3 linked regions of the Arabidopsis thaliana genome follow. The protein of the gene in region 2 interacts with the protein of the main gene of each other region in a pairwise test. Each region holds a gene or a part of one and is shown on either strand. Other genes may lie near its edges.

Region 1 (5,530 bases), on a different chromosome or scaffold from region 2:
GCGGCCCATTAAAAACTAGTGCACTCGAATTTTCTTCAGGTATTTTCACTTTGACGCGCACACACACTTTACATCACCACATCAGCATGTAATCAATTAAAACCCACATCCATCAATCATCATTACCTAAAATTTGCTAAATTAAACTTCAACTGTTTCTCCATTTTGTTTGCCGCCAGGCTACGCTATTGAACTTCAATTGTCCAGTTAGATTTGTTTCTCTTCTAGCATAATCTCATGCATGTACATTTATATATGTGTACTCTGGCAACTGACTTTTTTTCTTCTTTCTAACCTTCAATATAAATATTATATGAAACTTGAAAGTAATTATATATATCAAAAGAAATCTAATTAGAACCATTATAAGTAATAAAGAAAAATGTTGACAAAAACAAACTTGCAAAAGTAATAAAGAAAATTTTAATATTTTTAATTATAGTCTAGTCAAACTTTAAATTAATGATTTTAACTTTTCTGGACATTAGTTTTATATATACTACACACACACCTATGACAAAAAAGACATGTATACGTAAACATACACTTACAGGGAAAAAATTAAAGGAAAGAAACTAAAAAAAAATGGAGATGAAGAAATGTAGTATGATCATGATGATAATGATGATGGTGGTGATGGCATCCATACGAGGAGGAGAAGCAATTATAATAAGAACAACATGCAAGCAAATGTGCATCGACCAATGTGGTGGCCGCATCACTGTCCCTGAGACCCCTTGTCTCCGTAAATGTCTTCACGAAAAATGTGGCTTTCCAGCTCCTCCGTAATAATTCGTAACCTCGTATATATTTACGTATATTGATCAAGTATACCTTTTAATTTGTGTTGACTAATAATTTATATTTATCGCGACATTGCAGGATGGAGGCTGTAGGAATGGAAAACCTCATAGGATAGATCCTCATATCCTCAGTTTACTTTTCATAAGTTATTGTTGTGGAAGGAAAGAATTACAATAATTAAGAGTAATGAACAAAAACTCAGTTTACTTTTCATAAGAAATTTTGATGTGTACAATGATTTTTTCCTATGATCATAAAGATTTCCGAGGCCAAAATTAGGGTCAACATTCATTCATATTGGATTTGAACCTTATTTTGATCCTTATAAAGACTTTCTTCGATCGATTTACTTCATCCATATTTTATGGCCCTTTCTCCTTCGACAACAACGCATTAATTCTCAGGACGGGTGCGTTGCAATGTAAAAAGTTCTTTCGAAATATTTCATCCGATTAGTTTTCCTCAAAAGTATTAGTTTCAATTAAATTAAAGATAATAGCCTAATTATAAGATAATAGCTTAATTATAAAGCCAGCCAGATTACTTCAAGTTGAAGTAATCAAGCAAACTATCTAACACTGATAATTCGTTTAAGCTCCGATGCTATATATCTAGCACATGGTTAATGCTATAACAAGTTAACACCCTCTGCATGGTCCAATATCTATAAAAATTCTAAACAGAACAAATTAATGTACAAACACAGAACAAAATAATGTACAAAACACATTTTTGTCCCTTTTGCTTACTTACACAGTAAACTCATTGTCTTATCTACTCATTACAGGTTTTATTGAATTAATTATCAAAAACATACGCACCCATTTCTACTGATATATAGTGAAAATACTCTAATTTATTATTTTAAAAAAAAAAACACTTTGCAGGTCTAAAGTGAGCTAGGGACGTGAAAAAACTGAAAATACATATTGAAACTAGACGAAGGAATTGTTATGTTCAATATGTATTTAGTGTTAATTAAAAGACTAGTTGCTTGAAGGAAGAGAAGACATGCAATGATGCAATGCAGAAAACGTAGTTAATGCATTAAAAGAGTCTTTGACTCTCTAAAGTGTAACCGTAGTATTCGGTTTTGTCAGCTCCTTCGGCTAACTAATTAAAATCCTAACGGTTCAATTTTCAACCTTTCACACACTATTCAATATTACTATTTTCCGAAAAATTGGTATGATAAAAATAATATTATTGTAACTATATTGTAAGTAAGGGTTTTGATTTAGAGCGATTAAAAATGTTATAAATCAAAATAGTGATTGATGCCAAACGCGTATTAAATCAAACGTTTGCCGATGACTGAACTACTTTCGGTAAACGAGAAACCAGACAAATGGGCCTGTCTCAGAATAGCCTTTTAAGGAGCCCAATAAATTTGGACGTAGCACGATATGAAAACGCCATCGTTTTAAAGTTCTCATCACGATGGTTCGCGTTTTGAAGCATATTTTCGAAACTCGAATCAAAATTCAAATGGCGGGCTAAACTTCGATTCAGTCTCTCTCTTTCTCTCTTTGGTGATGGAACAAATTAGCAACATCGCTGGTGGAGACACAACGAAAGAGACTATGGCGTCTCTGGGTCTCATCTGTGAGAAAGATATTCATGAACAGCGTCTTAAAATCGATTCTTTCATCGCTTCTCCTTTCCGGAGATCGATGAACTCTTTAGTGGAGCGAGCTCAAGCCACTGCTCAAAGCCAAGGTAAAATTCAAAATTCGCATAGTACCACTCAGTTCCGTATGACCCAGATCGTAAATTTCACACTTTTTTACGGTTTAGGCTCTGTCTCTCTGAAATTAGGGTTTTAAAATTTCGACATCAGACTGGTAAAATTGAGCGGTTCTGTGAAATGTTTCTTTGATTTTACAGTGGAACTAATGAATTTGAAAGCGGATCTGAGAGAAGCAGAGGATGAGCTAGTTAAAGTGTTGGCAGGTATTATTACCTCAAAAGCTTGAAACTTTGAACTTAGTTTCTTAAATCATAAGATTCTCCTTGGTGTTATTTTCATGCTTACATACATTGTTTTGCTGAGTTTGGATATCTTACTGTCTTTGGGATGTTATATGTTTGATGTTTAGTGAAAACCCGTAAAGAGGCACGGCAAATGGGGATAAGAGATTCCATTTCTGCAACACAATCTAGGATTGAAGTACTTAGAAGAAATTTGCAGCTACAGAAGTCAAAGAAGGATGATTCTGTGAGAATTATCTCCCAACAGTTGCAAGGTATCGTTATATAATTCTGAAGTTCATTATACATACAAGTTTCATGAGTCAGCTACATGCTTTGGGATTTTGTAAAGTGAAGATATCTATAAAAAGTACTCTGCTTGTTTCAATAAGAGATCACATGAATCACTGAAGACCAAGCTAACATATTTCTTCCAATAAAGCCTTGTCAAAATCGAAGGACAACGCTGGTAAAGTCACCGAAGACAAAGCAGATATTCATGAAGCAATCTCTTGGTATAATCATGCTCTCGGTTTTCACGTTGAAGCTGGACATGGTAATAGAGACATTTTGAGTTTGTAACAATCTTAGTTCTATATTACTAAACCTTAGCCCTAAAAGAGCTTTGTTGTTTTAACTTCTCTTACAGGAGTTAAATTCACATTCACCAACATTGATGCAAAAAGGCCGACCCGCGAATTTTCGTTCACAGTTCACTATGGAAATGACATCTACACACGTGAGTATATATATGTCTTCTTGAAGCAAGCATCAACTACATTATAATGTTTACAAAAAAACCTAGTAATATGAACTGTTTACAGTCGTTTACTTATATGATCATCAGTATTGGATAGCGATCTGCAATTGGATTACATCAACGAGATGGTTCAAGAATTGAATAAAACCAATGACCTTTTCAGATTTGTTCGTCTGATGAGGGAGCAGTTTCTGAAATCCACTTTATCTGGTAAATTGTCTCAAGCCTATCCTTTTATAACCTCTATCTCCATAAGTGAGAAATCTTATTTTCGATATATATAAAAGTTGAATATGACCAAGACTTGTGTTTTATTGGATTTTGTCAGAGCTGCCAACACATTCAGGACAACTGCAACAGGAAACGTCTGCCATATCTGCTTCAGCTCCAGCTATATCATTTTCCACTGATACAAACATGTCAACTCCAGAAAACAAAAGATCTAAGGTTCAAGTGAATCGGCGACAAAAAAGAGGTAGCGAATCACCACTCCTAGCTCCTGTATCCACATCTGCCACTCGCCGTTCTTCTCGCTTTAAGGTACTGGATACTCATTGTGTTCTTAAATGTTACAACACCAAACCAAATTCAAAATATTTGTTAGATACTATAGTTTCCAAAAGTAGGATACCAGAACCTATTTGCATAACAACTGGACATAATAATGTTCTATCTGATTAATAATACTTAACTGATCACATGGAGCCTATAGTATTTAACATACAACTTATATAGCAACTCTAACTTGTTACAGGGTAAGAAATGAAGGTGGAGCTCTGTTTTCCTTTTCACAAGCATCAAGGAATAAACTTAAGCGTAGATGATGCTGCGGAACTTTCGACAACAACAGATTGTTGTTTGAAATTCCTATAAATATTAGAATGTCATTGTAATCACGCTTATTGACAATGTTGATTTCTTTACTAGTGTGGATGCTATGCTTATACACCAATCGATGATGGAGCTTGTGGGACTAGATTTTAATCGATGTAATCTCGCGCTTCTCTATTTCTAGATTTCGTTAGCTAATGGATGCTTGTCTAGCTTCATTAAGATTGCGCATTAGAGATAATGATGGATACTTGAGCCATAGATTGTGCATTAGAGATGTACAGTTTATGCAATTTTAAAACTAAAAATATAGCCACAACCATATTTTCTATCTTAAATTAGACAAGAAAACAAATCAAACACCATTCTCCAACTCGTTGTTCCTCTTGAAACGACTCTTCACCTCGCTCATGAAGGCGAAGAAGGGATTTGGTGTAGCCAACGCGGGAGAACGAACATGGAAAAGTATAAGTGATAAAGGTCTTCCAACATGTTACAATCCCCAGCAAAACTCAGAGTTTGATAATCTTTGCAACATTCCAAGCTGTTGTGAAGCCCGAACTTGTCTTTACGCAAATTAGTAGACCCCAAACATGAATGCATCTTGCACCACATGTACATTGTATTAGCATCAAAAGGGTTTATTGCCAGCGGAATGTAATCAAAACCAGTCTCACTACAAGCTAGAGATATTTCAGATACTATTTCCCATTCCCGGCTCTTTAGCCTCCATACACGTAACTTATGCTCTACATGTGCATCATCTTTGTCTTGGGAGAAGATGTTCATGTACATGATATATCCTTGAGATGTTGTGCAAACTCATTTTAAATTTGGTGGTTTCGTTCCACCGTCAGGGAAAGGTGTAACTTGGCATCGATCAGATTCCGTGCCAGTCGCGTAGAAATCATGGAACACAACAACCTCTCCATAGTCGTTGTTGTAGCCTATCCAGTAAAGGTTTCCATACAAGCTAACAGGGTTGTAATCTATCAGACCAGACAAAGTGAGATGAGATTGGAGGGTTTTGAAACTCCATAACCCTGTCTCGGATGAATATATCAGTAAACTTATGACATCGTCCAAGTTACTTGTATCCATCAAAACAACTTTGTAACCTAAAACGACGTGATCCTCAAGTTTTGTGACAAGCCCAGAGGTTAA
Region 2 (5,390 bases):
AACATACACATGAATACTCTGTTTCTTTTTGTTTTGTTTTCTGGTGAAGGGATTGGTTACGTGGACGACAACGTGCTACTTCGTCTACACACAGAACTTGCTACAATGGCGTCTTCAAAGCATTGTAGTTTCTGAATACCAGATGATCTGAAAGAAACAGTCATGTGTATGCTTTGAAGACGCCATTGCCCAAGACTTCTTGCAACAAGGGTTTACTTTATTACTAATGATCTGAAACAGAATGCACATTGACATTATGCTTAGGGAATCTTCTTGAATGTCTATCATGGTTATAGTTTGCTCTTCAAAAAATGTCAATCTTAGTACTGGTGGGAATGATGATGACACAACATTCTTGAGTTAAGAAGTTCTCTTTGATCAGTTGGGTGAATTTCTATGGCATCCCATCTGAAACATTAGCGTTCAATGGTACCTCCATAACCAGTAGCATGGCAGAATGTTCTATACAACGGCGTAAGTAAGATCCTTCATTCCAAAGACAAGGCATAACACGTTTGAAACAGCTGATCATATCAAATTAAAATTCCAAGATTCTTAGATAACTAATACATGCCATAAGTACCATTAAATCAACTTCTTAGAATGGAAATGAATTTGTAAAAGAAATGGTACAAGAAATCTAAAAGAAAAGCCTACTCGCTAAACATCCGAGGGTCCAAGTATCTTCAAGATGATAGGAAAAATGCAACGCAACTCACACCAGATGCAAAATGGACGAGATAAACTATTATTGAGCACCACCTCATATGATATATGTTACAACACACACATTGTATATGGAGTTTGGTGCCAGAAAATTCTTAGATATTTAATACATTAAGGAAATCAACTTATAAAGGAAATGAACTCGTAAGAAAGAAAAAAAATAACATTACAAGAAAAACCTCGACTCGCTAAACATCTTGCTTCATTTTGGGCTTTAACGGTCTGTATATCTACACTCTGCACATTCAAGAGAGCAGGAGTATTCATTCGTGGCTCCAAGTGTCTTCAAGATGATAGGAAAAATACAATGCATCTTACACCAGCTGCAAAATGGACGAGATATACTATTATTGAGCACCACCTCATATGAAGTGCCCTCAATTTTTATTGTGCTTCTTCGCATGAGACTTGAAAGGTCTCCAAGCACACACTTTGTATGCAAACTAGCCTGATGATCTTTACACGTATAGAACCATGTATGTGGATTTGTTTCTTTTTCACAAATGTCACACCAATATTTACCACTTGCCTTTTCGCCATAGCATAGTGAGAGAGGATGATCATGAACTCTATGCTTTACCATTTGTGGTAAAGTGGCGCATCCAAAGCATAATAAAAATCCACAATTATCTTCAATGCAACTAAGCACAAAGTCCTGCTCCATGTTGCAACCAGTGCACCATTGTACTTCGTCTGATGGAAAGTAATATAAGGGATGATTAGGATGACTTGGATGGATATGTGGCTCAGAAATTGAAATGCACCGAACATCGAATGCCTTATTCCCATGCTGGTACTTGAAACCATTGGACAATCTATCACAAGCATAACACCTAAAGCCTTCATCCTTGTTTGTAACCAACGTAAGACGTTCATTGTGTAGCACATGCCATTTCATTCTAAGAAATCCAGCGCAGTTTTGGTGGAGAATGAAGTTACAATCCATACAGCCGTAGAAAGACTGGAGACAGATGGGATGGGTGCATGCCTTGCACCGCTTGTTGTCATCACATAGAACACCATTAACGTTGAGTCTTAGGTAATGCTCTTTGTGACTAAAATGTTGTATTGTGTTTTCATCTATCACCACATATGGCTCTATATCTTCTGTTTCTTCGGGTAATCCTTCAAGTTCTTTCCCATTCCACACATCTTTTCTAGTAGCACATTTTGAATGAACAACATAGCCATGACACCTCTGACAAGAAAAACCTCCATAAGACCAGTCCACCTTTTTGCGACAAACTCCACATACAGAATTCACAACACCAAGAACAGAAGTTCGAGAAACACGGTGATCATGCCGGTTAATGTTGATGAGGCGTGGAAGGCCAAGACAGTCTTGATGGATCATGAAACCACATTGAAAACATACGTAAGGGCTACGATCTCCCTTCAGCCCGCAAGCATTGCATGTAAAAGAATCGAGTTTTGGGAGAAGGGTGAGTTGGTGATCATGAGCTTTCAAATTCAGAAGAGATTGTTGTGGTGGGCGCAAAACACAAACCTTGTCCAAGGTAAAGTTACACGGAGAACAATGGAAAAAAAATGTTTCATCAATCTTTCTTGCGCAAAGACGACATTTCCCATCAGAATAATCCGGTAACTGACCCTTTGCGTAGAGTTTAAGAGGGTGTAAAGAGTGGTAAGAATGGTTTACCTCTAAACGGAGTTCTAGTTCGGGCGGATACCATACGCAATCCACATGAAAGGATAAATCACATTCATGACAATTGTAAGGAAACTCATTACCAATAATCTTGCAACATTTAGCACATATACATTGCTTGATCCACTTCTTGAGAAGGGTAAGCCTGTGGTGATGCGTCTTGGAAATGTCAATAACCTCTGGTGGTGGATACTTTGAGCAGTATAAATCCATGTCGAAGTCACATAGATCACAACGATAGAATATTGGGCACATCCTTCCACACAAATTGCAGAAATTAGTAGGTCTTTCAGGTCTTAGCAGCTGAAGAGTGTGCTTGGGGTGAGATGGATGCTTGATATATTCGGAGGGCTCGTCAGCACAATTTTTTCGGACGAAAAAATCGCAGGTTTTGCAGTAGTATCCATCACTGATAGCTTCAAAGCGTCCACAGCAACCACAGCAAGGACCTCTTTTCAGATTTTTCCAAGGCATCATAAGATGCTCGTGGATCAACGGCATTAACACTCCCTTAGAATCCATGGTCGTTTACTAAGAGATTTTGAAGAAGAAGAAGTTGGATATGAAATCTCAAAGCTAAGTTTCTTTCACGTTTCTCTCTCTCTCTCAAAAGTCTTCTCTCTTTAATTTCAACGATGCTCTTATGAAAAAGAAGATTGGATCTGAAATCTCAAAGCTAAGCTCCTTTCTCTCTCAAAAGTCTTCTCTGCGTTAATCTCAAATCCTCAACGATGCCCTTACAAAATTATTTTTTTATTAGACTTTTGGTTTTATTGGTCTTTCATTAACAATAAAAAATAATTAGGCCCAAAACCCGCACCGTGCCGGTTTTTTCATGCATTTTGTTAGTTATAATAATTAATAATTTACATCAACTGAATTAATTTTATAAACAATCGTTTTGGTGTTTTTTTCTATGATTATCATTTTGATGTATCTTCTAACTCTCAAGTAAATGATTCATTCTATTTATTATGTTTATTTATTTATTTTTAGTTACAATGTTTAATATTTATTTACAATTACTTAACTTAGATATACAAAAAAATAAATTATTATCTTTAAAGTATTTTAAGGGTTTTGTGCAAAAACCACTATACCTCATCCATTTTTGCAACTTCAACCTCTACCTCCATCAAATACAGATTAATCATTAACAATATAAAATAATATGCATTATAACCCTCTTTTGCCTTTTTTTTTGTTACCAACAATTTTGTAAAATATCGATAATAATATGTTAAATTAAAACTTTCGCGAAGAAGAATTTAACTTTACCTTCAAAATTTTAAAAATCTAATGTATATAACCGTAAAAACGTTTACAATATATATATATATATAAAGATCATATTTTGTATTATTTTAGACTTCATAAAAATAATCTGCATTTATTGGAGGTAGAAAATAAAGTTGCAAAATGGATGAGTTAGCACAAAACCTTATTTAAAAGTAAACGGAAAAATAGTTTTACAATATCAATCATTAGTATTATTTTATTAAAATGAACCACTAGTTTAAAATAGTCAATTTTTAATTCTTTAGTCGTATCAATTAGCACTATTTATATAAAAAATGAAAATGAAAGAAATCTAAAAACATTGGATTCGGATCCATTTTTAAACTCTGAACTATTTTTTTATGAGCTGGATATCTCAATTATTTTTTAATTCACTAGATCTTGGAATTAATATTCATATTAACGTTTGAAACAGCTAGATCGTCAAAGTCAAAATTGCAACATTCATAGATAAATAATACATGAAGGAAATCAACTTATTATAATGGAAATGAACATGTAAAAGAAATGGTACAAGAAATCTAAAAGAAAAGCCCACTCTCTGGACATCTTGATTCATATGCATTACATAGCGCAATAACCAGTAGTTGGCATTATGTTCAATACAACGGCGTAAGTAAAGATCCTTCATTCCAAAGACAAGGCATAATTGTTTGAAACAGCTGATCATATCAAATTAAAATTGCAAGTTTCTTAGATCTAATTTCTTTTTTTTTTCTTTTCAAAAGAAAGACACAAATCTTGGCTTGCCTTAAAACGTGTGTACATGTTGATAAAACATTTTCATTTCGGTCTCTAGATTCTGCGAATAATAATGAATGGAGTCTGTGTTTGGTTTCATGTTGAATCAATCAAGATGTGTTTTTAACTGTAAATGAATTATGCAGAAAACATCTGTCCTGGTTCTCAGACATCGGAACTCTGTTCCTAATAAAAACTGAAGTCCCTGTTTTTATGTTAGTAATCTGAAACAACAATTGTTTGAAGACGCCATTGCCAAGATTTCTTGCAACAATGGTTTACTTTCTTACTATTTCTAATGATCCTGAAACAGACTATACAATACGTTGAGAAAGAAGCGAAAAGCTGACAATCATGATAATGCAAGACTGATAGTATTGTGTTGTTCATTTTCAAGGTGAAATTTTGTAGAAAACGAATGTCAGAAAGCATTTGAAACAGCAAGATCGTATCAAACTAAAATTGCAAGATTCTTAGATAAATAATACATTAAGGAAATCAACTTATAATGGAAATGAACTTGTGAAAGAAATGGTTACAGGAAATCTTTAAGGAAACCCCACTCGCTAGACATCTTAATTCACACTCATTGCATTAGCGCAATAAGGAGAGCAACAGTATTTTTGTGAGGCTCCAAGTCTCTTCAAGATGATAGGAAAAATGCAACGCAACTCACAACAGCTGCAAAATGGACGAGATACACTATTATTGAGCACAACCTTATATGATCTGCTCCAACGCCTTAATGTGCTTTTTGGCATGAGCCCTAAAAATTTTCCGAGCACACACATTGTATGTAAACTAGCTCGGTGGTCTTTACACGTGTAGTAACTAAAGTAAGACGCTCATTGTGTAGCACATGCCATTTCATTCTAAGAAATCCAGCGCAATTTTTGTGGAGAATAAAGTCACAATCCATACAACCATAGAAGGACTGGAGACAGATGGGATGGGT
Region 3 (3,552 bases), 8.1 Mb from region 2:
TTTATCCTCAATTCCACGAAATTCTGAAATCTCAAGCTTGTGGCCAAGAAGATTGATTAGTGAAGCAGCCACGTGGGGCTCAACAAAATTTTAAAGCCATAGTTTTGCATTCCTTCCTTCCTAAAAGATTATTGGTGGCCCAATTTTGATCTCAAGAGCCGTTATTCTTATATCACAATACAAGGTTATCATCATTTGAACATTACGTGATTCACGTACCGACACATTATATGTATGTAAGATGCCTATTCGCATCAAGTTCCGCAACTGGCTCGTACTGTCCTATTATTGGAATATATGTAACAATGCAAAGATTTTCCTTATATGGCAGAATCCAATTCCTTACACACTTTGTTATTTTAATGGTTAGAAACGTCATTTTTTATCATGATGTTCAACAATGTTTCTGTAGATAGACAGTGAAGAATTTAATGATTGATTTACCTTAATTCTAAATTTCTTTAATTGATTATAGAGTTGTTCTAAGATCCATATCTCAAATTTACGCAATCTCCTGTATTTTTACACTTGTAAGTTGTAACTAGCTAATTCAGTTGACAATCACGCCTAACATTTATTAACAGTTGCATATCATTGTAAGAATTTCGTTTGAAAAGTTAAGGCTTGACATTACACACGATTCAGACTCGTCATCGCTTTTTAATTTGTGGCAGATACAAATACAATATTCTTAGCCTATAAAATATGCCTTCTTCAAATTTTTAAATTAATTATTATGTCTTGGCGCATGTTCTGCATAAATAGTTATATATTCTTTCTTTTTTCCTTTACACCATAAAAAATCATCTATATTCAGTGCACGTGTATTCATTTCTAGATGCATATATGTATACAAAATTATATAAATATGAATTGGGAAAAAGGAGAAATCCAAATGTTGCTGATTTTTATTATAAAATATAAATATCTCTTAGATGCATGTTTACAAAATAGGTAACCGCATAATCTATCTTTTGAAAACTTAGATAGATAGACATATATAGTAATAAACTCATACATACATTTTTGTATATGTTTTTTTTACCTTTTTTTGTTCACATTAATAAGTTTCTCAGAACCTAAGTCATTTGCAATTCCATTTATTTTGAAGTCAAAGCCATAAAGCTCCAGCGCGCTTAAGCATTGGAACAAGGGAGCGGTTGAGATGGAGACTCATGACTTGATTGGCTCCACCAACAAGCTGCCCTCCTATGAACACCACTGGCACTGTCGGGCTGCACCCGAGCTGAGCCAATGCATGCTCTATCTCCTTTCCTCTGCTAATCTCATCGAGTTCATAGATCGTCGGGTTCACGCCAAGGTCTAAGAAGAGAGTCTTGATTGTGTGAGACATGCAGCAAGAGTTCTTGCTAAAGATCACTACCGACTTCTCGGAGATCATCTTTTGTAGATTCTCCATTAGTAATATAACGTGATAGATATTTGAAAACTGTCTTGCAAAGGAGAAAAATAGGTGTGTTTGGTCAAAATGCTAGATTAGAGATGAATATGGGAAAACTAGATAACTTATAGAGAGATTATTGATATATTTGGGTGAAAATGAGAAGTGACTCTGTGTTTTTGTGTTTGATGGAGTGAAGTGGGTAAGGTCCTTTATATATAGCTTTCTAAAGTACGTAACCTTTCTTATTACGTTGCCTTTTTCTACGAGAATCAACTTTAGCACAAATATGAAATATCTCAAATTGTAAGTAAAGAAATAAAAGAACACAATTTTAAATGATGAAAATTAAGATAGTCGAAGTATTCCGAAAGAATCTGAGGATATTATCGGTTCACACGTCTTGACTCTTTGAGTCTTTTTCCCTCTTGCAGCTAAAGAATAAAACTATCAACTAATTTGGTAAAACGTACAGAAAACAAAATCTCTCTTTGATATATATGAGGAATAATTGATACGGACGAATAATGTCATGTTTCATTAGTACGGCCTTCATTGTGAAAACCACTGATAAAAAGCAGAAATGAGTTTTATCTCTGCTAAACTCGTTTGACTTATAAAATTTCAAAATTCCGAAATATGTTTTTAGTTTCAAATAAAGTTGAAAATTGCTAATAGTGTTTACTCCGGATTTCATTTTGGCTCATTTAGGCTTGTGATAATAATTTTTGGTTTTGAGAATGTTACTTTCAATCTAAATATGTCGTCAGGAATGCGTCAAAAATATCCAACACATTATCGACATATAAATGTCTTGACGCCTATATACGAAAAGATTTCATGTTATCGTGAAGTCGTCGTTAATTGAAATTATCGGATTTCGTGTACTATACTAATATAGTATTCAAAATTAATTGAAATATTTCTTACAGTATTTTTGAGTCTAATAAGAAATTATTAATAATATAGCAATTATTTTTTGTAACGGTTATGTGTACATGATATATGGAAAAATATTTCGATATCTAATATGCTTTCAATCATACTTTATAGTATTTCATAGTGTATGTGTTCTGCTGAAAATCGGGTAAAAATCATTGGATAGCTTGGACATAGTTTTAGATACGCCTTGGACATAGTTTTAGATACGCCAAAAAGAGTTGCAAGCTTCAGTGTTTGAGAAAACTCGAGAGAGTATGAGATAATATCTCAAGAATTGTTTTTTTATAACCACTTGAGAGAAAAAGGCAAACTTTGTGGTTCCGTTTTAGCCTTACCGTCATGCATGAAATCGAATCTTGCAATGTCAAAGAATAAAACAAAATTGAACTTTATTCCCTATTCGATGAATAAGATTGCTAGAAATTCAAGCTCGTGCCCAACAAGATGGATATGATAGTATGATAGTGAAGCAACCACGTATATATATATCCTAAAACCAAAAATATACAAAAAATGTAAAATATTAGTTTTTTTTTTGTTTTTCTCTTCAAAATAGTATTAATGGTGGCCCATTTCGATCTCAAGAGTCACTTATTGTTACATCACAATACAAGGTTATCATCATTTTCAGTGTACGTGATTCATGTACCGACACATACATTATGTAATATGCCAAATCACATCTTATTCTGCAACTTGCCCGTACCGTCCTAGAGCATGGAATATATGTAACAATGCAACGTGTTCCTCTTATGGTAGAATCCAATTCTTTACACACTTTGTTGTTTTAATGGTTAGTAGCGTCATTTTCTACCATGATGTTGAACAATAACGCCCACAACTTTCTTAAATGGATAGAGAAGAATTTAATATTTAGTTTACATCTATTCAAAATTTTCTTTAATTAAAGATAGATTGTTTAAAAAAAAAAAAGATAGACAGATGACACAGATCTGCTTCATTCATATGATCATATCACTAATTTACGAAAGCCGCAGGCCCGCAGCAAAAGTTTTACTTGTAACTAGTTAAATAAGTAAATAACATCAGATCCTAACATTTAAATCCTAAGATAAACTTTTTTTTTCTTGTAACAAACCCTTATTAGTGTAAGAATTTTTCTTTATAAAAAGTTAGATATCTTTCTAAGTCCATTATGTGAAATTACTCGTATGAACCAATTCCCATAATTAAGGCTTTACATTCTA

Evidence for each region. The genes of interacting proteins can lie anywhere in the genome.
Region 1: the proteins of AT4G01920 (region 2) and AT3G48210 interact in a two-hybrid assay, tested with the Arabidopsis thaliana proteins (one large-scale study listed by BioGRID).
Region 3: the proteins of AT4G01920 (region 2) and AT4G15700 interact in a two-hybrid assay, tested with the Arabidopsis thaliana proteins (one large-scale study listed by BioGRID).

What each region holds. Positions count from the first base shown.
Region 1 is NC_003074.8:17,847,096-17,852,625, forward strand, and holds AT3G48210 (kinetochore protein), read left to right. Parts: upstream 1-2,255; 5' UTR 2,256-2,339; coding exon 2,340-2,523; intron 2,524-2,691; coding exon 2,692-2,757; intron 2,758-2,903; coding exon 2,904-3,050; intron 3,051-3,217; coding exon 3,218-3,331; intron 3,332-3,424; coding exon 3,425-3,514; intron 3,515-3,622; coding exon 3,623-3,745; intron 3,746-3,863; coding exon 3,864-4,075; intron 4,076-4,289; coding exon 4,290-4,301; 3' UTR 4,302-4,690; downstream 4,691-5,530. Other genes in the region: AT3G48209 (Plant thionin family protein), read left to right, coding at 586-789; AT3G48220 (F-box protein), read right to left, coding at 5,189-5,530. UniProt on the Arabidopsis thaliana protein: Acts as a component of the essential kinetochore-associated NDC80 complex, which is required for chromosome segregation and spindle checkpoint activity to ensure proper cell division.
Region 2 is NC_003075.7:828,163-833,552, forward strand, and holds AT4G01920 (Cysteine/Histidine-rich C1 domain family protein), read right to left. Parts: upstream 3,127-5,390; 5' UTR 2,918-3,126; coding exon 941-2,917; 3' UTR 664-940; downstream 1-663. Other genes in the region: AT4G01915 (uncharacterized protein), read left to right, coding at 50-135; AT4G01925 (Cysteine/Histidine-rich C1 domain family protein), read right to left, coding at 5,011-5,116.
Region 3 is NC_003075.7:8,935,413-8,938,964, reverse strand, and holds AT4G15700 (Thioredoxin superfamily protein), read right to left. Parts: upstream 1,608-3,552; 5' UTR 1,421-1,607; coding exon 1,112-1,420; 3' UTR 841-1,111; downstream 1-840.